7 separate regions of the Mus musculus genome follow, and regions 2, 3, 4, 5, 6 and 7 are each reported to be linked to region 1. Evidence: microRNA targets listed by miRTarBase, many of them from high-throughput screens and not tested one by one. Region 1 holds a microRNA gene; each other region holds the end of a gene's coding sequence. Distances are from middle to middle.

Region 1 (4,365 bases):
TTGTCTACAATCTGGACATGCTTGCTAGTTTTCACTTATATCTAAATTTTGTGTAATTTTCTACTTTCAGCAGTAGTGTAGCAGAGAACAGATGACATTTTAATTTCTTCTTTCTACTGTTTTTAATGTGCCCCGTCTGCTTCAAATGTTCTAATCCTATCCTCATTGCTAAATTGTATTGTACCTTCAATTTTTCAACTAAGTAATTTCTCACAGAAACCTCCTGCTATGACTGGATAATGTGGACTCTAAAGCAATCTATGTGGACCCTTTTTAAGGAACACAATTGTTCTTGTTGGTTTTATTTATTTTGTTTTATCTGTTTCTTGAAGCTAGGGTATGTATTGGGTTTGCATTTACTTCCTTATACCTGGCAAGCATTATGTACGTCATATACCAGCCATACGGTAAGTATATATGAATGTGTAAATAATTTTACAATTTATTTTCCACTTAAAGTTTTTCCTTGCTTAGCCAGCCAGTCTGGCCTTACTTCCCTGTTTTACTTGGGAATGCACAGTGATATGTAGTGACAGTTTTGAACACACTAAGATGTTAGATTTGCAAATTTCTGAAAAATATTGTATGTTAATTATTATTGACATTCATGGTATACATACAAAAAGTCAAAATTCTCAAATCCATAGATGGCCTGAGAGATATAATCCTAGTCCATTAAAATTTAAAAATTATTTTCTTTTTAATGATCATAAATTAAAATTCTAGTTTTCTTTTAAATCTTTAGATAAATGTTACCATTGAAGCAAACATAACAAAGGAGAAAAACGAAAGATGTTTCATTCCTGTGAATTTATTAAAGCAGTGCCCATTAGAGATTTTTTTCAGTTACTTTGGTGTTTTGTTTTGTTTTGTTTCTCAAAGCTGAACCTAGTGAGGAAACTAACATATATTTAAGTAGCCTCAGAGAGTTTCAGCCAATCACATGCAGAACTCAAACTTAAGATAGAAAAAAAATCAGATAAAATCTAAGAACTTATGCAAAATACATGTAGGCTAACTGAGACTATTTTTAGAGCAAAACAACCACATCATGTGTATGTTGTAATGTGAGATGCACGTATGAAATGTCATTCCTTATTTTACTTCTCTCCTCCCACAGGTTATATTAATATCCATATCTCAATTCTATGAGCATAGTGGGCATTTTACTTCTCTTTCATCTCTTGGTTGTTCTTGCTCATTCCTCTAATTGATCTACCTTGATACATAATACGGAAAGTATAATTTGGTTTTATGTATTTTTCAGATTTTTTCAGTGTTTCTTATTATTTTACCAATTAAAAATGTATATATTATAATACTATATATATAAAACCTGTTGATTCATGAATGTTTATTCTCTTGCTCAAATGTTGTTAAAATTAAATTAAATTATATTTTAATGCCATATGAACGATAAAAAGATGTCTTGAATAATTTTTCAAACTCTGGGCATGGTAGCATATAATTTTTATGTTCATGTGTACAAGCATTACATAAACTGTCACGTGCTATGGATTTCTCTGTGAATCACTATATCAAATCTAGTGTGGTAGTGGTTTACAAAGTAATTCATAGTGCTTCACAGGTGCTCCTACAGTTGATCTGTATTTTGAAACCTAGGATCCTTCATTGGGCCATTGAGAACAAATCCTTAAGCTATAAGATTTAAACCTTTCATAAACAGTTACTTTGTTAATTAGAGAACAAGAAGCAAAGATATGTCAAGCACTGGAAAATTAAGCTACATATATTGTAACTTGCTTGTAATATAACACCTGAGAAGCTGAGGCAGGAGGATGGCAGCATTTGAGGACTGCCTATTACATATTGCCAGGCCATCTCATATCTCATATATATATATATATATATATATATATATATATATATATATGTATATATATATATATATACACACACACATATATATGTGTGTGTGTGTTTGTGTGTGTGTGTGTATTTTACATTTATGCACAGTCTGTTCTTGTTTTTTTTAGCAACACCTGCCCCAACAATTGGCAGTATGCCCTATTTTTAAAAATGCAGTAGATCCAAAACAAAAGCACTGAATTGACATCTGCACCCATTAATTATAAGTGAAACATTTTGAAATTTAATTCTGTTACTATTACTTGGACAAATATATATATATATATATATATATATATATTAATAAAGAGGAAACATTTTTACAGAGAGCTTATCCAGTGACTTTACTGATTATGCAATTCAAATAGAAATTAATCAGGGAATTTATAAACATCATTATTTTAAAATAATTTTAAAAGTAACTAAATTTTAATACTATTCAAATGATACAGACACAGAATTAGCCAAAATATACAAAATTGTATACTTAATTTGCCATTATTTATCATTAATTCTCTACAAATTTAGCTTCTGTCATCTTTTAATGGCAAAGAAATTTAGTAAGAGTCTAAAGCCATCGTCAATGTTTGAGAACTTGGATTGTGCATCAAGAGAACCAGGGTACAATTTGCTGCACACCTGCATCATATGCATCACAGAAACCAATAAGTTCAGCTGAAGAGATCTGACACTCTCTATCACTCTCTATTGGCCTATGTTGGACCTTACACTAATGTGCATGTTCCCACACACAGATGCACTCATATACATACTCATAGTGTTAGAATAATCTTTAAAATGAGTAAGTTTCACAAGGCTAAAGAGTATAGTTGCTATCATGTTACCTACCAGTTGCTGGGAAACAACAGGAAGTTCATGGTTATTACCCTCATTAGTGTTGTTAAATGTGCTGATTCTAGAAACAGAAACCCAACCTTTCACCATTAGTTTTTCAATCGCTGGTATAAGCTCCAAAAATTTTGTTTAGTTTTGGTATATGAGCTCTTCTATTTGAAGGCTAGAACTTAGGTGTAATCTAAGCTCAGTCATATGGCAACAAGATTTTCGTAGTGATAGATTGTATTTATCTCCGATTTCTTGTGACACCATTACATTCCTAAATGATAATGAACAGGATTCTGAAATTACTTATGAATCATCATTGAATCAATCTATTATTTCTCTTCTGAAGTTATTTTTGTCTTGCTATATTAGAGCTAATACATCTTGTTTACAAGTTTAGGTATCATTACAATGTCCTAACAAATCAAAAAGTTTTTCCATTATACATTAAAAAATAAATCTTAAAAATAAAAATATATGTTACATAAATAATGATACTTTATTTGAGCCTCTGTAATTTAAATAAATCACATATGATGCAGCTGGAGAGAATCCCCACAAAATTATCTCCAATTTTAAAATAGGGTTTGAATGTGTTATCCTAATTTCTTAGGCTTTACTTCAGCATCAGTTATAATTGTCATTATTTTCAATTACAACTGCATATTTCTTTTTCTTAATACTCTATATTTCTAAGTATGTTCTTCATAGCAGTAAAACCATGTTATGATTGAAAATTCCACTCCTCTTAGAGAAGGGAATAAATGAAATAGAGCCAGAATAACAGGTTTTGGGCATAAAGCTGTTCTATAGCTTTGTGATTTGTTACTGTTTTTTAAAGAGATGCTTATCATATTTCCTCTGAGCTAAAGCTTGGTTTTAATGCCAATATTTAGTATTGTTGCTATGTAAATATTGAAGTAAGCGACAGAATTTTCTAAGAGATTTTTAGTTACTAGACCTAACAACAGGGTCACCAAATTTATCAAATAGCCATATATCCAAAACTCTTTTCATAAGTCTAACATCAAGTTGTATTTATATTAATATACTACTGGATGCTTTTATTCCTACTTTAAGTACATATAAGCAGAGTTACAGAAAAGCAGTTAATTTTAAGTGTAGTTTGGATAGAACATAAACTCTAAATTGGACTTGCCCTAAACACTCGTAAATTTTCTAAAATCTATGTGAAAATATATATTTTGAAAGGAGTTTACTAGGCCAACTTTATTCAGAGAAACTAGCAGTATTTATATATTGAGAGAGATTTATCTTGAAGACTTTCTCAATCATGGAAGTAACACAAGTCTACAACATAATGGGAGATGCCAGTAGACTAAGGAACTGGAGTTCAAATCTGAAGGCTTAAACCCTTCTCTTTTTAAAATATTTTTATTGGATATTTACTTTATTTGCATTTCAAATGTTATCCCTTTCCCCTGTTCCCACCCCCCGAAACTCCCTACCCCCTCCCACGCCCCCTGCTTCTGTGAGGGTGTTCCCCCACTCACCTACTCCCACCTCCCTTGCACATGAATCCCCCTATTCTGGGGCATTGAACCTTCACAGGACCAAGGCCCTCTCCTTCCATTAATGTCCTACAAGGCCATCTTCTGCTACATATTAGCTAGATCTATGGGTTCCTCCAAG
Region 2 (4,365 bases), not on the chromosome of region 1:
GGAGAAAATCCGGTCTGTGCAAAGAGAAAAGGGTCTGATGAGTCCCCAGAGAACCCCTTGCTTCCTTGCGCACTTAGGGCTCAGAAGTATCCTGACCCATAAGTCTTCCAAAATTGTAATGAAAGACCAAGGAAGCAGAGAAGATTCAAGAGTAGCTGCCCAACGCCCTTTACGATATGGACACTGGGACCCGGGTAACCCTGTGTCTCAGGAAGGTGGGCGCAGAAATGCAGACTTCCAAGCCGCTATGATACACACGACTCATTCCTGCAAATCTGCCTGTCAAGGTGGGAATCTGGGGTCTATCCTATTCTTCCTCTCCGTGCGGCCGGGCAGGGTCCCCATCGCTTCCATTCCCACAGGAAGCAGAACTGGGAACGTGTCCTGGCCCTGTTTATAGACCTCCCCGCCAGCTGCGGAGGCGCCAATGGACCAGAATAACTTGTCGCCTGGATGCTCGTCCACCCCCGCGAGGAGCCTGGAGCCCCGCCCAATCCGGGGCCGCTGGAGGAAGCTTATTTCCTGCTTCCCCTGCACTTCATGCAGAGACACAAAGTGACCATCAGTTTGTTACTTAGCGAGCTCCGGGCCCACGCGGAGGCTACTGTGGGGACCGGGACCGGGTTTGAGGACAGAAAGGGTGCAGGAGGAGCCTGGGACACTGGAGCCTGATTTGGATTTATTCCGAAGGGATAAGGTTAGGGGAGGAACCCATTTGCTTCCACCACCAAGCAAGGGCTCCAGGAGAACTGTGCTGGTAGCTCAGTAGGTGGCAAGGCTTCATCGGAACACTTGGAAAGCTGAGGCAGGAGGGTTGTTGAGTTCTTTATCATCCTGGATCACAAAGTGAGACCCTGTTTCATACTATAAACGTGTGCGGGGAAACTGCTGGCATGGTAACAGAAACCTTTAATTACACAGCACTTGGGAATTTCTGAGTTTGAGGCTCCCCAGAGAGGACAGCACAGCTGTCTGGAAGAATGAAGCAAGTGTGTTAAAGGCCTGGGCAAACAAGAGCACAGGCAGAAGAAGGGACAGAGGGAAGCTGTTCCTCAAATCTTTCTAAGTTATATTCATTTATTTGTGTTGGAAAGAGGGGAGTGTCACAGGACAACCTAGGAAGTCAGTTCTTTCCTTCCAGCACAAGTCCTAGGAATGGAACTCACGTCATCAGGTTTGTGTGACTTCCAAATTCTCCCACAGTGAACACACATGACTTTGTTTAACAAGAAATCTCTAAGGGTCGCCTCTTAAGACATCTGGAAGGAAGAAGGAAATGTTCCAGTGTGTGACCCCAGATGGCCTTTTGTGCCTCCTGGGGATGAATAGCCCGAGTCATAATATTTACAGAGGAAGTCGCCTGCCACTCTGGCTCCTTGGAGGCCTTGGTCAGGTGCAGAGTTACAGGCTCAGAGGGAAAAAGGAAAAGGGAAAGAGAGGGACCCCCCCCCCCCCATGGCACATGCCTGTTACCCCAGCCAAGCACTCGAATGGTGGAGGCAAGAAAATAACGTTAGTGTCATCCTCTGCGGCAAACAAGTCTGACATTAGAACTTGAGACCATGAGACCTTGTCTCAAAACGGCCAAAGAACTGTTTGGAAAACAAACAGGGAATCAGTCATACCGCCAGGGGGCACCAGTGCCCACTCTTAGTATATAAGCTCTGAGGGACTAGTTATGACTCAGTTTCCACACAAGAGAATGAGTAGGTGTCGCGGCTATTCCTGGTTGTCAACTTGACTATATCTGGAATGAACTACAATCCAGAATTGGAAGGCTCACCAGTGACCCTAATCTGGAGGCTTGGAGATAGAAGTTTCTGATCTGGATCTTGGTATGGAGATCTTAAGACATAGTGGCTATGGCTTCCAGAAGATTAAGACAGGGAGATCTCATGGGCTGGAGAGATGGCTCAGTGGTTAAGAGTACCGCTGCTCTTCCGAAGGTCCTGAGTTCAAATCCCAACAACCACATGGTGGCTCACAACCATCCGTAATGAGATCTGACACCCTCTTCTGGTGCATCTGAAGACAGCTGCAGTGTACTTACATATAATAAATAAATAAATCTTTAAAAAAAAAACAAAAACAGGGAAATCTCTGAGTTCAAGGTCATCTGTGATTAAAGGTGTGGTGGCACACACCTTTAATCTGGGCTACACCTTCTGCTGGAGACCTACATAAGGACATTGGAAGAAGGAAGGCTTTCTCTCCTTCACCTGCTTGCCGTGTAGGACTGAGCAACTGCTAGATCCTTGGACTTCCATTCACAGCTGCTGCTGACCACTGTTGGGAGTTGAACTGCAGACTCTAAGTCATCAATAAATTCCTTTACTATATAGAGAATACCCATAAATTCTGTGACTCTAGAGAACCCTGACTAGGGAACGCCTATGGTGAAGAGAGGTGTGCCGGCACTCTGGTTTGAGAAGCCCAATCTTGTCAGAGACAGGGATCCTCATTGACGGGAAGACTGAGGCCTGCAGTGCTCTTCTATTTATTCTATTTTTGCAGTGATAGAAATGGAACTCAGGACTTCCCAAAAGCTAAAGCTCTGTTACCAGAGCCACACCCCAAGCCCCTCATTGGGCAATTCTAGGCAGAAGCTCCACCCCTTAGCCACACTCCAGCTACTTTTTTTTTTTTAAAGATTTATTTATTTATTATATGTGAGTAACCATTGCTTTCTTCAGACACAAAAGAAGAGGGCATCAGATCCCATTTCAGGCCACACAGTGGTGGTGGCACATGTCTTTAATCCCAGCACTTGGGAGGCAGAGGCAGGTGGATTTCTGAGTTCGAGGCCAGCCTGGTCTGCAGAGTGAGTTCCAGGACAGCCAGGGCTACACAGAGAAACCCTGTATCGAAAACAAACAAACAAAACAAAACAAAACAAAAAACAGATCCCATTACAGATGATTGTGAGCCACCACGTGGTTGCTGGGATTTGAACTCAGGACCTCTGGAAGAACAGTCAGTGCTCCTAACCACTGAGCCATCTTTCCAGCCCACTTCCAGCTCTTTTTATTTCTAGTCAGGCTGCCCAGCCTGGACCAGCTGTCTCCACACACACACAGCCAAGTCTGGGGGATGCCTATGGTGAAGAGAGGTGCACCAGCACACTGGTTTGAGAAGCCCAATCTTGTCGGAGACGGGGATCCTCATTGATGGGAGGACTGAGGCCTGCAGTGGTCTTCTAGGAGGGTCACCGGCCTCCTGATATCTAAGAAGAGTCTTGTGCAGCCAATGGTGTCAGGAGACACCAGACCTCAGTGGGAAGTGTTCCCCGCCCGCATTTTACGAAAGGGATTCCCCCGAGGGACTCAGTAAAGGCTTGCAGCTGGACTGGTGAAGGCAACATTGGTTCCATCTTTAGTGCCAAAAAAGAAACCAACTAAACCATAACACAGAGTCCGACTGCATGTGCTGAAGCTGACGTGCAGACTGCAGCTGAGTCTAAGTCTGTCTTCTGAGATGCAGGAGTCGGCGCTTCCCAGGGCTGGTGCCATTCCAGTCTGTGGGCAGAGCTGGTCCCAGCCTCCCTCAGGCTTGGCTCTGTGTAAACCTTGGCTGTCCTCTTTGAGTGGTGGAACGTCATCAGTGCCCATAGGTGCCCATGGCCTGACCAGGACTCCACGGTCCACACTAAGCTAGCCCAACTCTTGTTGGACAAAGCAGACCCTGGGCTCTGGGCTGGCCTTAGAGGACAGGAGTTAAGTGCTGGGTAACTCTGAGGACTCCCTGTTCAGTGCTGTGCACTGCCCTTCATCCTCCTCTTCCTCCTCTTCCTCTGCTTCCTCCAGGGTCAGCTCAAACTTGAACCTGTCCGAGCCCATGGTGTGTGGAGGGCTGCAGGGAATCCTACTCTGATACCACTCTCTGTTGTCTTCCAAGGTGTCCAGAAGCTCCTGAGCATCGGGGTGCACTAGGTCAGCCCATGTCTCCCACAATGGCTGAGCGATGTAGTCAATGAATCCCACCTTAGGGTGATCACAGAAGGGGCAAGTGAGACCCAGTGAAACCTAGAATTAGTCCCATCTCACAGTTGGCCACCTGGTGTTCTCAGCCTGGAATTCTCATTTGCCAACTCCTATTCATCCTTCAAAATCCTCTTGAAAAAAGCCATCCTGGCACAACAGGAGGAGACTGAGGCAGGGTGATCTCAAGCCAGTGAGTTCTAGGCCAGCCAGGGTGACAAAATGAGATGTCTTCAAAACAACAAATCAAAACATCTGCCCTAGCTGGCTGGTGGCGCACACCTTTGATCCCTGCACTTGGGAAGCATAGGCAGGCGGATCTCTGAGACAGAGACCAGCCTGGTCTACAGAGGAGGTCCCAGGACAGCCAGGGCTGCACAGAAAACCC
Region 3 (4,365 bases), not on the chromosome of region 1:
AACCAGTCATCTTATTTATACTCCCGCGCTCACTGGAGGGATTCTAGGCACGGGGCTCTATCACTGAGCCAAGCCTCACCCTCTTACTTTTAAAAGACAGTCTCCCTAAGTTACCTAGGCTGATCTTGAACTTGGTGATCTTTCCTCAGCCTCTGGAGTAGTTGCAGCCAACCAGGCCCAACTCCATTGTGAAAACTAAGGGTGGCGAGGGGCCGTAGCTCTGGGGGTTCCTTTAACGGACTTCCCCCTCTTAACGCTGGTATCCAACACCCTGCAGGTGCACGCAAGAAGCTGCGCCTGTACCAGTTCTTGCTGGGGTTGCTCCTACGCGGGGACATGCGCGAGTGCGTGTGGTGGGTGGAGCCAGGTGCCGGCGTCTTCCAGTTCTCCTCCAAGCACAAGGAGTTGTTGGCTCGCCGCTGGGGCCAGCAGAAGGGCAACCGCAAGCGCATGACGTATCAGAAGCTGGCCCGAGCGCTGCGCAACTATGCCAAGACAGGCGAAATCCGCAAGGTCAAACGCAAACTCACCTACCAGTTTGACAGCGCGCTGCTGCCAGCCTCCCGGCATGTCTGAGCACTCCGCTAAGGACCCCTTTCTGGCCCCTAAGTCCCATGGAGCCCCATATGAGGGCAGTCAGGGTTCTCAGCTCTCCCTAGAGCCTCCCCAGAGTTTCCTGTGCCGTGTATAGGATTCCAATCTAGGATGGTCGTGTTTGAGGGAGCACTGGCCATTCTACACGGTTTCAGAATGGCAGGTTTCTCGGGGGGGGGGGGGATGGGGGAGCCCTGATGTCGTCTACGGTTCCAGAAACCGCAGTTCTTGCGAGTCCTGTGAGCTCACATGACATCTCACCAGCAGGTGGCGCTGTCTACAGCCCCCCCCAAACCCTTGTTTTGTTGGCCAGATAGGTCGGTCCCTCTGTACTCCCCCTGAAGCCCTTGTTAGATCTGAGGTCTAGTTATGTTTGGAGCTCTCTGAGAACCCTGTGCCACCTGTGTGTGACTTTTCTCTGCGTCCGTTTATGACTTTTGTTTGTTTGAGACAGGGTCTCATTATGTAGCTCAGGCTGGCCCCCCAACTTTTAACAATCGTCCTGCCTCGGCCTCCTGAGTGCTGGGATGACAAGGGTGCACCATCACACCAGGTTTTTTCCTTTTTTGAGAGATTTTACTATGTAACCCGGGCTGGGCTATTCTCAAGCTAGTGGCAGTCCTCTTGCCTCAGGCTCCTCTTGCCTCAGGCACCCCTTGGGACCCTCTGGGACCTATGTCCGAGATGAATGGCTGGGTAAGGTAGGGTGGGAGGTTCAGTGAACCTTATAGGTTGGGCCCTTCCTTCTGGGATCCCTTGATCATATGGGAAGTTCTCTAGGCTCTCAGCAGCCCTGCATTCACACACTGACTGAGGCGCGACCTGTATGTTGTGTTTGAGGGGGATGTGTGGCAGAGGTATGGCTGTGGCAAGGCCGGTGCCTTTTATTCTTGAGATTGAGTCTTATGTAGCTCAGGCTGGTCTTGAACTCACTCTCACTGTGTAGCTAGGGAAGACCTTGAGCCCTTGCCTCAGCCAGAATGCTCAGATGTCAGGCAGCGCACCACGTGACTGTTTCTTTCCATTGTCTTGTCTTTTTGTTGTTGTTGTTTTCGAGACAGGGTTTCTCTGTGTAGCCCTGGCCGTTCTGGAACTCACTCTGTAGACCAGGCTGGCCTTAAACTCAGAAATCCACCTGCCTCTGCCTCTCAAATGCTGGGATTAAAGGCGTGCACCACCACGCCCTTTTTCCTTTTTCTTAAGTCAAGGTCTATTTGTGTAGCCCAGGCTGGCTTCAAGCTCATGACACTCTTCCTGCCTCTGCGTCTGGAACTATGAACATACCTTACTACTCTGTGCTTACCCACGCCATGGGTAGACAGACTTCTAGACTTGGTCAACCCCCACCCACAAGGCAGGCAAATTAAGTCCCTGCAGGTGCTTTCTTTGGAGGAAAGCCCGCTTTCATAGTGATCTGTCAAGCTAGAAAGCACTCCCGCCACCCAGATATCTAAGTGTGAATCTTTGGACAACTGGTGACTTCTGGCCAGCTTTTCTGGGGCCGGCCTCTGTCCAGGTGTCTGCCCAGGACCCTGCTCAGTGCCTGTCTGTCTCACACCAGTGACTTCCTCACACCCGCCTGTTCAGGCCCAGTCTTTTCCGTTCAAGTGCTACAGGCCAAGTAGGCTCAAACTGTGGGTTTGTCTTGGGCATCCACAGCAGAATCAGAACCCAGAGCTTTGAAGCCTGAGTGAGGGGAGGGGGGCACTCAGGCTTCCGTCTCTCTGAGAAACAGACGATGAAGAGGCCCTTAAAACTCTTTGCAACCCCATGAGCCTCCCCAATGAGCCTGTGACACACCGGAACTCACCTCTGTGGGTGGCCGGGAGGGGGAACAGGGTCATGGAAGATCCAGATGTCCATGTGGTCAAGGCTAAACTGTACTAAATAAAATTATTTCTCATCACCACTATACATGCATAATAAATAAAGTGTACATCAAAATTAAGCCGTCTTGGGACCCTTTATTAGGAACTGTCCCCTGCACCTCCACATGAACTCTTCTGAGACTGTGGCAGTCATAGGGAGGGAGGGGGAGGGAGGGGGAGGGAGAAAGGAAGGTGGTGGGCCAGGCTAGGGCTTGAATGAGGAAACCATTGTTTCCCACCTTGCTTTTCTGCTCACCCCTCCATTCCAGACATCTGACTGTTCGGTTTTTGTTTTTTTGTCTTGAAGATAGGCTCTTCCTTACGTTGTAGTTCAGGCTGGTCTTGAAGTCACTCCAATGGCCCTGTCTCAGCTCAGTCTCTGGAATTCCGGGTTACAGGGGTGTGTTACTACAATGGGTTGCTGTGCAACTTGCCTGCTCCCTAGGGAGCGAGGTGGAAGTTTTTGCACTGCAACCAATGGTGTGACAGGACTTTGTGCCCCCAGAAGCCAGGAAGCTTCCGGCTGTTAGGGGATCTTTTTTTTGAAAGTAGAAAGGAGGGAGGGACACAAAGAGTAAAAGGGGGGGGGGAGGACAGCTTGTCTTCGATACCCTGGTTCCTTCCTCTGACACCCTTCTGGGCCAGCCACACCTGTGGTTCCCCAAGTGTCCCTCTCCTCCTCCTTACCCGCTCCTCCCCTCTGGTGCTGGGAAGGAGCCGGGCCTGGGCAGCTCTCCAGGGCCTTCCCGGCCTCTCTGCACTTGGCCGGTGACGGGCAGCCGGCCAGGCCGCTCCCATTGGGACCCGGATCAGAATAGGGCGGGAGGGACACCGAGAACTCTTCCCTGAGGCCGGCACCCGTCCTGCCTACGCGGGGGAAATCGGACTATCCTTCCCGTCTCTGGTTTCTAGAAAACTCCTGACTGGGGCTAAGAAAGGCTTCCAGAACCCGCCCCGCTTGCCCCGTGCACCTGAGACTCCCAGCCCCCCACGCCCGTTCCCAAGACCCAGGATTTCCCTCCCTTTTTTCCTTTTCTCTTTTCCTCCTCGTTCTTTGCCCCCACACAAGTGCCCTCTCTGCTTCCCCCCTCTCCCCATCTTGTGCTCTGGCCACTTCTCGTTCCTCCTTCTCCCCCCCACTTCATCCAGGACCTAAGAATCTGGACCCCTGTGCCCCCAGACTCTGGGGTTCCAGTTCCCCTCTTTCTGCGGTCACGCAGTCTTCACCTTTGCACCTCCACAGACTCAGGTGTCTAAGCACCACATCCCATCCCCACTAGGGCCTTGGCATCCCTCCACTCCTGCCTGCTCGCTATTTCTCGCCCTTTAGAGCATGCAAGAGGAATGCGGGGCGGCCCTGCGCTGCCTCCTGGGAGTCTCGAGACTCCATAAAGGGCTCCTCCTGGAGACCCACCTGTCCCTGCTAGGGCCTGGTTAGAGCCACTGCGGTCCCAAGTCCTGGGAGCAGGAGAAGGTCGCCGACATGCCTGAGGCTAAACCAGGTGGCTGGCCCGAAACCTTCTTGGGGGTGGGGGTGGGGATGGGGTGGAGGGTAGGGTGCACACAAGGGGATTTCTACTATGGGAGGAGGGGGTCCTTTGCCTGTTCCTACATCTAGGTAGAGTGTAGGTTCCTTTCCTGCTTGGGGAAGAGGGACCCTTTCTGTGTGCACAGATGGGTCCCTTCCTAATGCAGGACCATGAGGTCTATTGTCTGTGTAGGGTCAGGAGTCCCCTTCCTCTTCGGGGACTGGGAGACCCATCTTGGGTAGAAATCTCAGTTGTGCAATTATAAATTGGCCTCGGTTTTCTTTCTCTCTCCCCTTCTCTCTTTGCTCTCTCACCCCACCCCTGCCCCCAAGCCCTCCAGGCTGTCCTCAAAGTCTGCAGCCTAGGCTGGCCCC
Region 4 (4,365 bases), not on the chromosome of region 1:
GGTCGAAGTAGATGCAGTACCCGATGAAGAGGGCACCGCACACGCCCGCGGCGATGGCGCTGTTCCGGCCCACCATCTTCGCTCGACTGGGGCGTACGCCGGGCCGCGGCAGCCCGCCTGGCAGCGGTTAGCTCCGACCGATCGGAGCACGCCGGCCGCTCGCAGCCGCCTGCCTCCAGTCCAGACGGAAAAGGCCGAGCGCGAGGACTTCCGGCGCGCGAGGACCCCGGGGGAAGGTCCGCGGCGGGCTGTCCGCGGCGGTGCCTGCGCGGGAACGCCTGGTGCGCACGCGCAGATGGACCCAGTCTGCGCGGCTGAGACGCCAAGCTGGGGGCGGGGCGTGCACTGCAGAAGGATTTGTGCGTCATCCCGTGACCAGGGGGTCAGGGGCAGCACGTGTTTGTGGCGTGCTGAGTCAGAAGCCTCTAATCCACTGTCCTTGCTAATGAAAGACGAAGGTGGGAGCCGGCTGAGAACAGCATCTCATCTCACTGTGTCCTTCAGGAAGCCTGTGACTTGAAGTGCATGCGTTTGCTTTTTAGGTTTTTGAGACGGGCTCTCCCCTTGTAGCATAGTAGGGTCTGGAACTTGCTGTGTAGTCTGCCCTGGCCTCGAACCTGCAATCCTTTTGCCTCATCCTCTGAGCTGTGGTTTTAAAGGAAGACCTGAGCCGCCTGATCTGGCAGTATTTGCTTTGTAAATTGCGTTGTGACTGAGATTAGACACAATGATTGACTGCAAAATAATTTTATGATGTAGCCCTGGTGCGGAGAAGAAAAATGGGTTAATTCGTTCAAAAAAATTTAACCTGTAAGGAATGCAGAAGGGCAAAAAAAAAAAAAAAAAAAGTCTATGGGTGGCCCTGATTTGTGCCGTCATTAAACTGCAGTCTTGTCGTTCTCTCCCTCCTCCACAACCCCCATCAAGATTCCCAACCAGCTCGTTACTAATGCTCGAACCCACCCACCACACTTGTGGCTGGCTTTTGAAGGAAAGGCAGTCTGGTACAGCAACTGCTCCCTTCACTGAGGAAACATCGAAACCTGGGACAGTGACAAGCTATGCTGCAGTCTCTGAGAATTGGGTACAGTGATAAGAGGTAGCCGATGCAAGCCTTTCCTGCACCTCTCATTGTAAGAATGCTTTTTTTTTTCATTTATGCATATGAGTGCTCTACCTGCATGTACACCTTCGTACCAGAAAAGAGCATTAGATAGCATTACAGATGGTCGTGAGCCACCGTGTGGTCGCTGGGAATTGAACTCAGCACCTCTGGAAGAATAGCCAGTGCTCTTAACTGCTGAGCCATCTCTCTAGCCCCTTTAAGGATTTTTTGAAGCTATGTTAAGGGAGAAAAAAAGTTTACAAGAAAAAAATGTTTCATACTCATGACTAATCAGTACTTAGCCAGCACTTTTATAACAAAGCCAACTTCTATCCACTCTTGACCACTTATATACATAGTCTTGTGGCTATTAAGTATTTTATCAGATAGAACGTACCAAGAAATTACACTAAGCATCTTTAGAAAATTTCCTACAAAATACATTTTTTAATGATTTACACAATCATAGTAGCACACACATTCTAAAGGAGGAATTTCAACAGTTACACAGTACCGAATTCCAAAGTATCTAGGGCCAGTGAGATGGCTGAGTGAGTCCATGCTTTGGAAGGAGAAAACTCCAGAGTTTTCTTCTGGCCTCCACATTCACATCATACACATATTAAATAAAGTTACATCTATGCATGTATATAACCTGCTCACTCACAGGAGCTGTAAGTTGTACATAGATTATATATGCACGCACAATCTAATGTTACATCTTTATATAGTTTATGCAAAAATGCTCCAGAGTGATCAGGTAAAATTGCTGAAATTTAACTGAAAAGGTTCTAAATACTGTAAGGAAAACCAACCATAAATTATCCAGTCTTGGATACAGGAAATAGAGCTTTCTCTGCTGTAAAAGCTACACACTTTTATTTATTTTTTAATATTTATTTAATGTGAGTACACGGTAGCTGACTTCAGACACACAGCAGAAGAGTGCATCGGACAGATGGTTGTGAGCCACCATGTGGTTGCTGGGAATTGAACTCAGGACCTCTAGAAGAACAGTCAGTGCTCTTAACCACTGAGCCATCTCTCCAGCCCCACACTTTTATTTTTTACTTGTATATATGTGTGTGTAGGTTATGTTAGTGAAAAAGTGCACAAAGTCTGGGGAGACTAGAGGAGTTGGACCTAGGAGCTCAAGTTACAGACAGTTGTGAACTGCTTGACGTGGGTACTAGGAATTGAACTTAGGTACTCTGAAGAGCAGTGCATGCTCTTAACCAAGAAACCAACTCTCCAGCCTCTAGAGCTATGGGGTTTGTTTGTTTTTTGTTTAAGATTTATTTATGTGTAAGTACACTGTAGTTGTATCCAGACATTCCAGAAGAGAGCATCAGCCAGGCATGGTGGCGCACGCCTTTAATCCCAGCACTTGGGGGGCAGAGGCAGGCGGATTTCTGAGTTCAAGGTCAGCCTGGTCTGCAAAGTGAGTTCCAGGACAGCCAAGGCTATACAGAGAAACCCTGTCTCAAACAAACAAACAACAGAAGAGGGCATCAGATCTCATTACGGATGGTTGCGAGCTACTATGTGGTTGCTGAGATTTGAACTCAGGACCTTTGGAAGAGCAGTCAGTATTCTTAACTGCTGAGCCATCTCTCCAGCCCCTAGAGCTATGTTTTAAAGACCTCATTAGGTTTTCTACATGGCATTTCCCAAAGACAGAACTTTTACAACTAAAAGAGTGAAAACTTATCCTACCCTCTTGCCTACTGGACTCTGCCTGCCTGAATCAGCCTTGGCTTCCTGCTTCCCCCACTTCATCCTGGATCCAGCCCCAGCTTGGTAAGATGTGTCTGGAACTTAGGGAATGCAGCACCATGTTGTCATGTCATTCAACTTTAAAGACTGCAGTTTAATTAACATCATTTATTAGATGCTGTCTTTAAACTTTCTGGGACAGCTGTTTCATTCTGAGTGATACTAATTTAAGCATCACATTTTCCTGGAAGAGTATTTTTCTTATGAGCACCCCCCCCTCCACACACACACACACCTAATAGCCAAGGACATCATTGACCACTGTAGTCACTGGCAACGAATTAGAAGATAGTCACTCTTATCCTATCAGTCTTATTGGTTAGCAATTATTAGATATATGGGATAAGAAATGTAGATCTATACTACAATTGCAAGAGAAAGAAAAATGAGAAGTGAAGAATGTGCGTGTGTGTTTTACACAGCTCACAAGTCTTTCTTAGGGACTGTGACTATACCTGGAATCAGTATTCTCACAGTGACCATTTGAACACTTATCCTAAACACAGAGTATTAATGTTTATTATTTTTCTTTAAATACATTTCTAAGAACAAGGCTTCAAAGAAGCCTTACATATAGCATGAATTAAAAAAAAAACAAAAACAAAAACCAGACACCGTGGATGCCTCCACATTTTCTACATAATCCATAAAAAACCCAGACACTCATTGCAAGGTTTCACCACAGAAAGGAGGCAACCTCAGTTATTACTGCTGTTTTCTTGGTTTCTTCATTTGTACTTTTTTCTTTTGTCCTTTCTTTTTCTTTTTCATGAGAACTGCCTTTTCTCCAATAAATGCATTCTTGGAATGGAATTTTCCTTCTTTGGAATGGAATTTTCCTTCTTTGGAAGTAAAATTAAGTCTTTGCTTAGGTTTAATGACATCCTTCTTCAAGCTTGGATTTGAATTCTGTTGTTTTAGTTTTTCTTTATTAACAGAACGCATGACTCTCAGTTTTCTTCCCATTAGCTCAGAATTATTTAACTTCAAAGCAAGATGAACAGCATCTGTGTTCTGCAATAAGGAGAAACATTAATTTCCACCAGAAAGTGATATGCAATGAGACTAGTAGGTCAGAATTCAGTGGTCTATGTCAGTCTTCAAGCTTGTACACACAAGTCCTTCTAGTCTATGCCCTAGAGGTCAGATCCAAGGGTTTGGTCAGCCTTGCTTGAACCCCTTGTTGCTCATGTTCCACTCACGGCTACAGGTGGCGCTCAAGCTGCTTCACTAAATGCTCATAATCACCACCACAGGTTCACTGTTCATCATATGATGTCTCTTTAAAACAGTAATCAGCTCAAAACACAACTTTCTTAAAATTCCTGTTGTAAGCAGAAGGCAGGAAAGTCCTCTACAGTCAGAGATGTGGGACTAGACACTAGAGGGTTCTACTTGAGTCCAAAATCCTATTCTATTCCAACACAGAACCATTAATACTATTTTCAATGTTAAGGAGATATTGAAAGAACTCTACAAGGGTC
Region 5 (4,365 bases), not on the chromosome of region 1:
AGGATTTCTGGCTTGACCTCTTCAGGGTCTAAGTGAGGACACAGCCACACTGTACTTGCCTCCGCAAGGCTGTGCACTTTACCCCACTTCCAAGGCTAGCCCCTGAGGTCTCAGTGCTTGGCCTGGCACGGCTCTGTCAGGACTTCTCTCACTAGGTTAATCCATAGGATTGCTATTCTAAGACCTAGTGTCTACAGTGATTAAATGTCACTCCAGAGGAAACCTTTCCACAAAGGAAGCTTTCATGACCCCATTTACCGAACATAATCCCTGTCCTTTATAAATAAGGGCAGTGCCAGCTAAACTCTGATTCGGCTTGCTTTTTGTGGTAACATTCCATTAAGCCTTAAATAATAAAACATTCAATTTTGGCCAATTTTTTACTTTTTACTACATTAGGAAAGAAAAATTAGGGATATTATCTAGAAAATAAATGCAACACTTTCTGCCTTTGTTCATAAAGAAATAAATGGCGCAACTAGAGGCTATCACCAGAACTTGGTATGGAGGACCAACTGATAGCTACCATTTTATTGTTATTATACTTTAAATAAAAGTCTCTCTTATGTATTTCTTCCTATAACATACTGTGTGTGTGTGAGTGAACTCAAGCGACCCACCTGCCTCTGCCTCCAGAGTGCTAGGACTAAAAGCACGCTCCAGCATTGCCCAGCTCTGACATAGTCTTAAACGTGTTCTCAGTGTACTTCGTTTTCTCAGAAAGTCTGGCAGTGAAACACAAGAGTGTGCCTGAGGGTTTGTACTTCATAAGAACCGTTCAGGTCTAGATTAAGACTGGCTTCCCATCTGGTGTATGTAACTAACTGCTGGTATCAGTTGTATTAGCTAATATTGCAGATGCTGAAGGACAGGCTCTGTTTCAATTCTGAGCTATAGTGTCCATGAGAATGTAAACATCCATCAAGGGAAAAGAGCTTACCATCAGTTAGTTGCCTAAAACTTTTTGTTTTGAATTTAGTAACATGTAAGAGAAAATGCCTACTATATTGATTTTCTTGATGATAGATAAGGCCACATGAATGTAGGCAAATGGTCAATAGTTTTATTTCGGCATTTACTAACGTCTTAAATATAATCACATATAAAACAAACATTTCAAAAGTGCAAAATATCAGCAAGGTTATCAGAGCTACTCATCGTCCCTTGCAGACAGTCTCCCACCAACTGTGCTGCCAGAATCACAGACAGAATCACAGACAGAATGCTGTCACCCTGGAGTTTAGAAACAGCCTTGGTCAGGAGATTGTGCATGATAACAGACGACGCAGTGCAGGTCCACACCCAGGTCCCTTGCCACCACACTGCCTTGTATAACACTCAGCGTGGTCACGTGTAAGTACCGGACTGCGGGAAGAAGCCTTTCTCAGTGCAGGGGTTTATCTAGCTCTCCAGGGCCAAGCTGCCCATCTTTGGTCACAAGAACGCACTCTTGGTTGTACTTTGGTTTACTCTTAAGTAGTAATGACTCTGCTAACAAGAGTAAACAAACCTCAAGACAGCAATTGACAAAACTTACTTTTTAGTATTTAATGAATATACTACTTAATTCTCAGGTATTCTTACTCAAGACATATTGTAGAAAAAATAAAGTATTCCATATACCTGGAACTCCTTAGTAGCTTGCTCATCCAGTATTACCCATGAGCAGGAAGGCAGGCTGGGCCTGACGTACCATGCTTGCCTCTCTAACGTCCAGGGCACAGTGCTTCCCTCCCTTTGCCTGTCTGTAGAGGGCACTGCCATCTGAGGGTTTCAGGGCATGTTATGTGCAGTGCCTCTGGATACCATGATAGGTTTACAAAACAAGGAAAAAAACCAAAACACAGCTCACCTCTCCTGCCACTCTATAGAGACCTGTGGAAATCAGAGGAGCTAAAGGGCAATCGTGAGGAGGACAAAGATGACGGCACATGCTAAGGAAGGGAACACTTAGTGTACAGTCACCCTTCCTCACGATCAATGTGCCTTGAGTTATCCAGATTCAGCTCCTCAGACCCTGTAGACAGGGTTTTCCTTCAGAAGGTAGCCTAGCTTGCATGCTCAAATCCATGACTGCCAACTGTAATAAACAATTTGATGGTACCTCAGAAAGCAGTGACGCAGCCGGGCGTGGTGGCGCACGCCTTTGATCCCAGCACTCGGGAGGCAGAGGCAGAGGCAGGCGGATTTCTGAGGCCAGCCTGGTCTACAGAGTGAGTTCCAGGACAACCAGGGCTACACAGAGAAACCCTGTGTCAAAAAAAAAAAAAAAAAAAAATGTGACATTTATGTCACATACTTCCTTTACTCAAGTGGAAGGAGCAGGTGACTTAAATCGGTGCTACTAAAAGACTGCATTTACAACATGAACAGCAGGGAAGGGCCATGTAATTTCAGGTTGACCTTCAAAATAAGTATTACCTAGTAATGTCCTCAACTTCACCGCTGGCTTGGAATACGGTGTAAAAGAGCAGGCACACAGTTAATACAACCTTCAGGGTTGCAGAAGCTGAAGCAGTTGTAAGGACCAGGACCAGGACCAGCACCAGTGGTTCTACAATCCACTCACGTAACAGTGTTCAGAGCAAACTGTGCTATTAGTAAGCTTCTGTCTGATCTTCATATAATCCAGGAAAGAAAAGCTGGCTCAAAAGCCAGCAGCTCTCCCAAATGCAGTGATGCTCAGCCCTCCAGCACAGAGAACACACAGAGGGACGGGACCCCTAAGTACCTCTACATCTTATACTCCCACCCGTAGTGTTGGTAAGGATAAGGAGTAACCCCCCCCAAGCCCCCTAAACAGATATTCATTCCCATGTAAGAAACAAGGAAGTGCTGCTGTTAAAGCATTGGGATATGTAAACGCCCTAGCCACAAAACCTGCTGAGCGTCCATACAGAACAGTGAGTGCCCCTCCGCTTTCCAGTAGTCTCCAAAGAGGGTTCTCTTGGGAAGATCCCATGGAGTAAGGCAGGCAGCATGCAGGACACAAGGTAGCTGAGAAGGAAGCTGCAGCAGCAAGCGTGTGGGTTTTCAGGACAGTCTCCCTCAGTGTCCATCTATGGGAGAGGGGGGGAAAAGGTCACCCAGGGGAACCAGCCACCAGAGAATGCCACTGTCTAATACAGACTTTCCAGGTTCCTGTCTGGAGGCTGGGTGTGGTAACTTGGGATCCCCAGCACAAGGTAAGATGTACACCAATCCTTTTCTGAGTGGGCTACTGGACACTTCCTGTGAATTTTAACCAGTGTCCTCGAAGTGAGTTTTTCTTGAGGTTCCAATGTTCCTTATAACGTGTAAACACTTCACTGCATTGAAAACTTACATTAAGCAGCCACAGATGGGTCATGTTTACTGTAAAGGCTGATCAAGGAAGACACCCTGGGTTTGGTAGATCTCTTTGAGAACCAGCAATACTGTATCTTCAGATTCCCTGTGTAGAGAAAAACTTACGTTGAGAAAAGACAAAACCATTTGACACCATATGCTTTTCATGTAATCTATACAAATACCTTAGCTTTTTATTAATTTTTACTACTGTAAAAATATGTGCCTTAGAGGTCCATTGCTAGTGGTTTGGAGGTGGTCTGGAAACAGGAAGAGTTAAGGGTCCTGGCACCTTCCCTCATAAAGGCGGTAAATGACTGCTTGAGGCAGGTCTCACTCTAACCCACGCTGTGCCTGCAACTTACTCTATGGCTTAGGCTGGTCTTGAATTCACAGAAATCTTCCAGCCTCAGCCTCTTGCCTCAGGACTACAAGCATAAACCCACTCTTAGCTCCCAGAGGCATTCTTGAAACAACAGGAGCAGCTGTCTGCTCATCACCTTCATTTTTAAACTTTATTTGCTTTTTAGAAAAGGCAATAGGATTGTATGACCCAGAATTTCCAATGTATCAGATGGGGGTTAGAGAGCGGCTAGACGGCTGGCTGAGCGAGAATGGGGTCTGAGTCTGGAACACAACACTCACATGAGTAGCCAGGCTGCTTAACCTGCTCGGATAGTTAACAGCACAGTGAGGGGCTGAGACTGGAGGATTGCTGAGACTTCCTGGCTAACAGCCTAGCTCAGGACTCTGTCTCAAAGGAATAAAGTAGAGAATGACAGAGCAGGATACTCAGTGCCCTCTGGTCACCTCACATGAGCACATACGTATTCATGCGCACACATATAACCCATACAGAGAGAAAAAAATATGTGTAATATGCATATTTTACATTTATAACCACTTCCTAGTTTAGAGTCCTTTTCCTCTCGTCCTGTCTCTCCTAAACACCAGCTTGAGACTCTCATCTTTCTCACTCTGATACCCCTCCACCCCGAGACGTCCAGCAACTCGCAAACTTCCACTGCGGAGCCTTGC
Region 6 (4,365 bases), not on the chromosome of region 1:
CGGTCTTAAGGTCAAGTCATCACTTAATGTTTTTGAGGTCAAGCAGTACAGGTATAAAACCTGGGGCCTGACGGAGGAAATACCAGATGCCTCTTTTCTTTTGAAATTTTGAGGTACAGCCTTGCTCCATTGCTGAGCGAGACTGAAACCTGCCTTCCTCCTGCTTCAGTCTCCTAAGTGGCAGGATACAGGCTTGCACCCCCAGATGCAGCTTTATTTTGTCAACCTAACCAGAAGGCAGAAGTGGGGATGTTCTGAGATGCTGTGGAAACATATCAGGAGACCATCCCAGCAGGTTCACTAGAGGTGCCTTTGAGGTCAGCACCCATGTGGGTGATCTCCTCCCACACCTTACATACACTCAGGCACCTGACCCCGGGCAGCTTTCACTTTCCCATCACTCCTCAGCCACGGGAGGGCTGGTTATTAAGGGAGAGCACCGAGGTCTATGGGCTCTCCAGCCAGCTTCTCTGGGATCCCATCTTGACTCTTCCGTCTATATTTTAGCTACCTGTTCAGCCACACCTTGCCTCATGGAAGTTGTTACTCATCACAAGCTGAAGGTGCTACCTCTTGCAGCTACTGGAAGGCTAACTAAACAACCAGATGTGCTGTAACACCAAGGCTTGTGCTCTGAAGGTAGCAAGTTCTCTGTACATTAAAAAACTTTAAGCATATGGTGGCTGCAGTTTTAGTTATCCAGCTTATCTATTCAGCCTAACGTGTATTTACTGAGTACTTACTGTGTGTTATATACTTCTCAAAATACAACATCTTTGAACAAAATAAAGCAAAATCTACACTACCTACACTTGTATTGTTTTTTCAGAGGCAGATGGGAATTAACAATCACTAAACTATACTTGCAAACAGCTATAAACACGCTACAATGAAAAAGAGACACAGTTGAGGGCCTTCAGAGGGTCAGCAAGAATAAAGCTTAACACATATGCTAGATCTTTCCATGAAAACAGTTTAAGGCAATTTGATTTCCATTTGGTACCCTGCATTCAGAATCCCAGTTGTGTTAGTGACTCCCCCACGGCTCCCCACTAAACTCCATCTCCTTTTCTAATGTTTCTGGGATCTATCATCTTAGGTTGAGCACTTAGGCCTATGTTGCTGTCATAACATCCTCTCTAGTCTGCCCTTCCATGTTGTATATGCAGAGTGCTCAAAAGCAAGACTCTAAAGAGACACTTTCACGCCAGTGTTCATAGCATCCCTCCCAACAGCCCCCGTGCCAATGAGTGAACAAGGAAAACAGCACATTCATTCATTGCACTGGATATTCAGACTTGACAAGTGATGCACTGTGACACGGATGATCCTTAGAGACGTCATGTTGGATGAAGGAAGACAACAATGGACAGATAATATATGGTGCAACTTATAGAAGACGCCTAGGATTAAGTTAATGGTCAGAATGCAGAAAAAATGCCTGGTCAGGGGAAGGGATGGGGAATCACTAATTAGCGTGCTGTTTCAGTCTGAGATGATGACAATGTTGTAAATATGGTAAGAGTCACACAACAATGGCAGGTTCTTCATGTCAGGAAGCTGCTCGATTTAACTCACTAGAACTCATCATACATTTTACATTATATTTCACTACAACATAAAATAGTTAAAGAAACAAGGAACTGAGTTCTTAATTAAATGTTTGAAACATATTTGGTTCACATATTGGGAAATGTTCACATATTTGAACATGCAAATAAATTTTATGACTCTCCACATAAAGATACAGAAAAAAAAACCATTTATCTGAATTGTCAATATTTATCTGAATTGTCAATATTTATCTGAATTGTCAATTTAGTCGTAAAGCCAAATCAATGCTATTATAATAATTTCTGCTATTATAATAATTTCTGCTATTATAATAATTTCTGCTATTATTATAATTTCCCCTCACTATCAGGAAAAAAGAATCCCACCCATACTCAGGGTTAAGATGTAATTATACGATGCATCATAGCCATCTTAACATTTTTATACACAGTAAATTCCTTCAGTTTAGATTACCTTCAAAAACAGAACTGAACCCACAGAAGTATACAGTATATCAAAAGGACAAGGCCAATAACACAAAATGATTTTATTTTTGTCACTGGTGACAAACATGTATCGCTGGTTTCTTAAATATTACTTATGTACTCATTAAAAATATGTTTACATCTAAAAATGTGACACAATTAGGAAGTTCTCTCTAAACATAATCTTTCCTAAATATAATTTCCTAGTTTGTTTCACACATAACTTAATCTACAAAATCAAAAATAAAACTACCAACCAACTCTGTGGTCTAGAAATACATACAAACTGTGAAATCTGAGAAAGTACTTTCTGATTTTAAAAATAATATACAATATATGCATATCACTAATCAAATGGTTCTTACAAGTTCTTACTGTCTCCCAACTTGGAAGAGATGCCTGTAATAGACCTTTCAATTTACTTAGTAAAGATGCCATACATGTAAAAAGTCAAAACAATCACAATCAAGATTTTGTCTGTAGAGATCAGGTCTCACTTTGTTGCCTAAGCAGCGTACGCTGGCCTGCGAGTCACCGTTCCTCGGCCTCAGCCTCTGACAGCAGGGACTACTGACCAGCAGACGAGATGAGTCTCAGAGCAGAGGAAACAGCTACTTCATTACTAAGTGGCTTAAAACCACCTTGGCTTCTCTGAAATAAAAAAGGGTTGGCATGGAATCAAACTTAAAATTTAAGAATCAAGACAGGCGGTGGTGGCGCATGCCTTTACTCCCAGCACTTGGGAGGCAGAGGCAGGTGGATTTCTGAGTTCAAGGCCAGCCTGGTCTACAGAATGAGTTCCAGGACAGCCAGGGCTACACAGAGAAACCCTGTCTTGAAAAACAAAACAAAACAAAACAAAAACAATTTAAGAATCAAAAAATTCAGATTAAATACACACTGAGCTCATGAAAATATCCCACTGAGATTCTGTAACAGGGGCAGAAGCAACTCCATCCAGCTTTTCAAATTTATCTTTGACCATCATTTTAATGAGTTAAAAGCTTTAATGGTAAAAATTACAAACATTTTCTGCAAATAATACTGGTACATATTTCATTAGTTTTTGTTGAACAACTGGAAATCCTACTTCTTTAGAAAACATGAATTAATCTGTTGAAATACACCACCTATGTACTGACTTAATAGCCACTCAAGATTCGCTAGTAAGCTTATTGTTTTTATGCAATAACATTAAAAAGGAATTTTGTATGTTTGCTGTTTTCACTTCATACATTATTTTGTGGACCTTTATGTGGTTATAAGATTTACAGAGAAATGCATTTCAGCTGTTCTTATTAGATTTTAATGGTTCAAACTACAAATAATGCTAAGTCAAGCCCTGGCATTCCTTTTTAAAAATCCAAGTTTCTAAAAGTTCTAAGTTTTCGGCAATATAAAAATGATCTTCTTTACACCTTTAACTGCCAAAAACTGGGTAAAAAACAAAATATTCTGTTAAGGAGATGATTTGAGATGTTTTGGATCCTATTTTTAAAAACAAGATGTGAAACAGAAAACTTCACAAACAGCAGCTCAAATTCCATTAACTTACAGCTCAATGGAACACACAGCCAGTTTTTATGCTTAAACAATTCAAAATTAAGGTTTATATTGGTAATGTCAACAAGTCATAACTACTACACATCACCTCTGATACAACCCACTAACTTCAAACAGGCTCAGCAGCTGTGCATGTCGGGTAGATGCTGTTTAGAAACTCACAGCTAGCAGAGCTATAAATATACATAAATAAGTGTGGCAACACTCTGGAGTTGGGGCCATTACAACAAGACGTGATGTAAACACACGTGCTGATTCTCGCTCAAGCCACTTCCCACTGACATGCTCAGCCATGGTTTTATAATTCTTTGTAAAAGAAAACATTTTCTACTCAGCATGCAGCATTGTCATTTTATATCTTGACTATGATGGAATCTTCAAATTTTCTTGCTAAGCTTGACATATCTCATCAGGAATTCTCTGGAAGTCAGCTTGTGTTTTCAGCAGCCTAGACAAAACAAGAGAGCAAGATCCATTATTTTAAGAAACCATAGTTAAGACAACCATGGAGGTAAATCTACCTATACCATATTTAACAAACAGCTAGTTATTCCACATCACAACTCAATTGGTTTTACTGGAAAAATACAATGATTTTTATTTTTTGTTGTATTATCAGATATTTTAAATTTACTGCCAGATTATAAAAAGAAGGAGTCATTTATATAATAGAGATCATGTAAAATGTACTACTTCTTTAAGAGTTAACACATAACTTGTTTTCCAAGGTCTTCATTAGTTTTTTTTTACTATAGTGTAAAGA
Region 7 (4,365 bases), 80 Mb from region 1:
ATAAGGTCTGTATAAGTGCTGAGATTAAAGGTGTGCCCCACCACTGCCCGGCTAGATTTTTTTTTTAAAGATTTATTTATTTATTGTATGTAAGTACACTGTAGCTATCTTCAGACACACCAGAAGAGGGCATCAGTTCTCGTTACAGATGGTTGTGAGCCACCATGTGGTTGCTGGGATTTGAACTCAGGACCTTCAGAAGAGCAGTCAGTGCTCTTCACCACTGAGCCATCTCTCCAGCCCTAGATTTCTTAATTTAATAGAAGGGACAGAGCCTTCTGCATGGAATGAGTGTGCACTGAGTGGGAAAGAATTAGAAAAAGATTAGGAACATTTGTTGCTTTTGTATGAACCATGTTCAATCCCAAGCACTCACGTGGCTGCTCAGAACCATCTGCAACTCGTTTTTAGATTGACACCCTCTGCTGGCCGCTGTGGGTACTGCTTGCATGCAAGCAAAACACTCATACCCATACTTGGGGGATAAAAAGTTTCCAATAGTCGTTGAACCTAGTGTCAAAATGACCTCTGTAACCCTGCTTTTTCTTTGTCCTCTCCCCAGCACATAGCAGGTGTGTGCATACACCCCCGATTTGGGGGCTGGTTTGCCATCCGAGGGGTTATGTTGCTGCCAGGGATTGAAGTGCCAAATTTGCCACCCAGAAAGCCCCCTGACTGTGTGCCTACAAGAGCTGGCCGCATCACTCTGCTTGAAGGTTTCAATTTCCATTGGCGGGACTGGACTTACCGTGATGCTGTGACTCCTGAAGAACGGTACTCCGAAGAACAGAAGATCTACTTTTCCACCCCACCTGCCCAACGCTTGGCCCTATTAGGCTTAGCCCAACCCTCAGAACACCCTAGCACTACATCTGAGCTTCCTCTTTCCTTGCTTACTAAACCTCAGAATTCCAGGAGAGCTCGAAGCTGGCTGAGTCCAAGTGTCTCACCACCTGTATCCCCAGGCCCTTGATAACTTTTCCCCTTCAGGATCCCACTCATAGTAGATTTATTTTAAGTAGGATTTGGGTTTTGAAAAAAACACTTTCTCCTTTTTTAGTTTTTTTGAGACAAGGTTCCTCTATGTAGCTCAGACCAGGTTGGCCTCAAGCTAAGAGAGATCCATCTGCCTCTGTCTTCTCCAGAGTGCTGATTTTTTGCACTGTGGAAAAACCATTTTATTTTAGGTAGGATTTCCTGATAATAGTGCTTCAGACAGTCAAGACTCAATTTACATTGGTCAAGATAAATCATATGCCAAGGCAGACTCAAAAATCAGCAGTTGACTTCAAATATTAGACTCATGCCCATTACTATTTTTTTGTTTTTGTTTTTTGTTTTTTCAAGACAGGGTTTCTCTGTGTAGCCCTGGCTGTCCTGGAACTCACTCTGTTGACCAGGCTGGCCTCAAACTCAGAAATCCACCTGCCTCTGCCTCCCGAGTGCTGGGATTAAAGGCGTGCACTACCAAGCCCGGCTTTGTGTAGTACTCTTAAGATACTATTTAAGAACCATGGTTCTCACTGTTCGTTCCTAAAGCTGCTATCATTTAATGCAGTTCCTCATGTTGTAGTGACCGCAACCATAAAATTATTTTTGTTGCTACCTAATAATTTTGCTAGTTATGAATCAATTGTCTTAGGGAATCCAGTGAAAGGGTTGTTCAACAACCCCTGGGGGCTGAGAATCACAGATTTAGCAGCTCCTAGGGGTACCCACCACATTGAGCTATGCTGAATTAATATTTAAGTAAACTACATTGAAACTGCCCCGACCTACAGTGTGCTATTACTAAAGGCTCAGGCAATCTTATACTTATGCTCAAATAGATGTACTTTGAATTCTGGAATGTTGGAAGGACATGATGTCATAGGATTATTTTGTCAACCCTAACCAAGAATCCAGAAGAAACTTCCTGACTTTACAGGATCAGAAAGGAATATTCTCTCATCACAGCTAAAATACAAGTAGTTGAATACAATCATATCCAAAGCCACCAACTTTGTTTGCCTGTTTGTTGATTCCAGAGATAGTTTCCCAATTCTGATATTTCAAATTTCACTCCCAGGGTCCAGGGAGGTTAGTTGGTAAATTGTAATGTGCTGTTTTTACTTGTTGAAAACTAAAACAGGAGACAGACCAGTCTCAGACTCAATCATGTTTCCTTGAACAGGAATCCACCCCCGCCCTCCAAACCCTGCAACAGGGAGGGAGAAGCAAACTACTGAGGGTATTAAGGGATCTGCAACCCTATAGGTGGAACAACATTATGAACTAACCAGTACCCCGGAGCTCTTGACTCTAGCTGCATATATATCAAAAGATGGCCTAGTCGGCCATCACTGGAAAGAGAGGCCCATTGGACTTGCAAACTTTATATGCCCCAGTACAGGGGAACACCAGGGCCAAAAAGGGGGAGTGGGTGGGCAGGGGAGTGGGGGTGGGTGGATATGGGAGACTTTTGGTATAGCATTGGAAATGTAAATGAGTTAAATACCTAATAAAAAATGGAAAAAAAATATCTAATAAAAACTAAAATAAATTATTAAAAAAAAAAAAAAAGAAAGAAAGAAATTACACCCAGGAAGGAGAGAGGTTAAGGGCACTGGATACTCTTGTAGAAGTCCTGAGTGATTCCCAGCAATCACATGATGTGACCTGGTGCTGTCTTCTGGCCCGCAGGTATATGTGCGGGGAGACCATGTGTATACATGACATGTATATAACATGTATATAGTAAATCTTAAAAATGCATCCTGAAAACTGGTAGGTGTAACATTTCCAAGGTTAGTGTTACTTATTCCGTGATATAAAAATGTAGTGGCAAAAGGGAAAAAGAAGCCCTAATAACTTTTTCAAGCACTTTGCTGTGCCCTGCCCAGAACTCCAATGTTCCATACTTTGGTTGCTGGGAACAAGGGGACAATTATTGGAGCTTATTGGCCAGCAAAGCTCAGTAAGCACCCAGTTCAATTAAGACTGCCTCATCAGGTGGCTCACAACTGCTTCTCATTCCAGCCCCAAAAGGTCAGACACATTCTTCTGGTCTACAAACAAGCGAAGTGTTACCATGTAGCCTAATCTAGCACTCATCTATGAGATTAAAACTTGACAGGCCCAGTGGTCATTCCTTTTTCCTCCTAGATTACATTCATATTTGTGGGAGAGAGGCATATCACAGTGCATTTATGAAGTCAGAGGACAACTTGTAGGAAGGAGTCAATTGTCTCTTCTTCCACCATGTGGCAAGTATCTTTAATGTGGTGGTTTGAGTAGGCACAGTCCCTAGACTGTTTTTGACTGCTCGGCCATAGGTAATTGCACTGTCAGTAAGTGTGGTCTTGGTGTGAAGTGTCACTGTGGGAACAGGCTTTGAGGTGTCCTATACTCAAACCACACCCAGTGTGGCACACACATCTTTTTCTGCTTAGAACTCACAACTCCTTAGCCAGCACCATATCTTCCTGTACTGTGCCATGTTTCTCACCATAATGGACTAAATAATGACTATAAGCCAGCCCCAATTAAATGTTCTCCTTTTTTAGAGTTGCCATGGTCAGAGTCTCTTAACAGCAATAAAACTCTAAGATACCCAATGAACTTCTTATTGGCCAAGTCCTATTTATTTTGCAGAGCAGACAGACACTAGGCATTTATCCTAAGAAGCAAAAATTCTGTTCCATGCAACCCTCCCAGCACTAAACAGCTCAAATAAATCTTTCCCAGACTTGCCTATAACCCAGCAAACATGAACTGCAGTGCAATGGCTGAGAGGACAGCAGGGCTTGGGTCTGCTTTTCAATCTAAAATATTGTTAAACTAAAAACTTTCTTCTGTGTGGGTATGTGTACTGAAGCCTTTTTTTCCCTTTAAAGACCAGGCCTAATGCATCACACAGGTGAACCTCTGATCCTTTTGCCTTCAGTTCACTAGTACTGAGATTACAGGTGTGTACTATCACACCTTGTTTACATGGCAATAGGGTTATAACAAGGCTTGTGCACACTAAACGTAATAGTTAACTTCTGTCAACTTGACAGTATTTTTTTTTCATTTATTCATTCACCCAGGAGAAGAAACCTCAATTTAAACATTTCCAAGATTAGAGTGGTCTGTGGGACATTTTCTGCTTCAGTTCCTCCTTGAAGTCCTACCCTGACTTTACCTCAGGTATGACTGTGACCAGGAAGTATAAGCCAGATACTTTTTAGTTGCTGTGTTCAGCAACAAGTAAAACAGAATACCAGGCAAGCACTCTACCAAAAGCTTTGTCTCCAGACCTGAGGCACCTTTCAACCTTTCAAACCCAATTTTCTAAGAAAAACAGGGGCTTTGGAGATAGTTCAGCTGTGACATGCTTGTGAG

Evidence for each region. Region 1 holds the annotated microRNA mmu-miR-876-5p (UGGAUUUCUCUGUGAAUCACUA, at 1,515-1,536, shown strand). A microRNA usually pairs through its seed, bases 2 to 8, with sites in the 3' UTR of a target mRNA and lowers its output. Matches are read on the target gene's strand: a 7mer-m8 pairs with bases 2 to 8, a 7mer-A1 pairs with bases 2 to 7 and ends in A, and an 8mer does both.
Region 2: miRTarBase lists Pde4c as a target of mmu-miR-876-5p. Seed matches in the 3' UTR shown: 8mer at 2,786-2,793.
Region 3: miRTarBase lists Spib as a target of mmu-miR-876-5p. Seed matches in the 3' UTR shown: 8mer at 1,721-1,728.
Region 4: the mRNA of Rbm34 is a reported target of mmu-miR-876-5p. Seed matches in the 3' UTR shown: 7mer-m8 at 2,512-2,518.
Region 5: the mRNA of Ddhd2 is a reported target of mmu-miR-876-5p. Seed matches in the 3' UTR shown: 7mer-m8 at 2,185-2,191.
Region 6: miRTarBase lists Mzt1 as a target of mmu-miR-876-5p. Seed matches in the 3' UTR shown: 8mer at 2,797-2,804.
Region 7: miRTarBase lists Mmachc as a target of mmu-miR-876-5p. Seed matches in the 3' UTR shown: 8mer at 1,417-1,424.

The regions. Positions count from the first base shown.
Region 1 is chr4:36,642,593-36,646,957 of GRCm38, reverse strand. Mir876 (microRNA 876) reads left to right here and starts at 1,505; the gene lies at 1,505-1,585. All of the region lies in intron 2 of Lingo2 (leucine rich repeat and Ig domain containing 2), which reads left to right.
Region 2 is chr8:70,749,456-70,753,820 of GRCm38, reverse strand. Pde4c (phosphodiesterase 4C, cAMP specific) reads right to left here. Exons shown (of 17, transcript NM_001310465.1): 17 at 2,635-3,980. The coding sequence ends at 3,714. Among named protein-coding and RNA genes, the nearest start is that of Rab3a, 3.1 kb to the left of the region's middle.
Region 3 is chr7:44,524,170-44,528,534 of GRCm38, reverse strand. Spib (Spi-B transcription factor (Spi-1/PU.1 related)) reads left to right here. Exons shown (of 6, transcript NM_019866.1): 6 at 278-2,540. The coding sequence ends at 576. Mybpc2 (myosin binding protein C, fast-type) reads left to right here and starts at 3,866. Exons shown (of 28, transcript NM_146189.3): 1 at 3,866-3,964. The coding sequence starts at 3,946.
Region 4 is chr8:126,945,649-126,950,013 of GRCm38, forward strand. Rbm34 (RNA binding motif protein 34) reads right to left here. Exons shown (of 11, transcript NM_172762.3): 11 at 1,524-3,895. The coding sequence ends at 3,587. It overlaps Tomm20 (translocase of outer mitochondrial membrane 20), which reads right to left and starts at 273. Exons shown (of 5, transcript NM_024214.2): 1 at 1-273. The coding sequence starts at 76.
Region 5 is chr8:25,724,305-25,728,669 of GRCm38, forward strand. Ddhd2 (DDHD domain containing 2) reads right to left here. Exons shown (of 18, transcript NM_028102.1): 17 at 3,326-3,433; 18 at 1,020-3,059. The coding sequence ends at 3,352. Plpp5 (phospholipid phosphatase 5) reads left to right here. Exons shown (of 7, transcript NM_028000.1): 7 at 1-583. Among named protein-coding and RNA genes, the nearest start is that of Plpp5, 6.4 kb to the left of the region's middle.
Region 6 is chr14:99,032,461-99,036,825 of GRCm38, forward strand. It overlaps Mzt1 (mitotic spindle organizing protein 1), which reads right to left. Exons shown (of 3, transcript NM_175245.4): 3 at 2,084-4,050. The coding sequence ends at 4,030. Among named protein-coding and RNA genes, the nearest start is that of Mzt1, 11 kb to the right of the region's middle.
Region 7 is chr4:116,700,065-116,704,429 of GRCm38, reverse strand. Mmachc (methylmalonic aciduria cblC type, with homocystinuria) reads left to right here. Exons shown (of 4, transcript NM_025962.3): 4 at 563-1,996. The coding sequence ends at 973. Among named protein-coding and RNA genes, the nearest start is that of Mmachc, 6.1 kb to the left of the region's middle.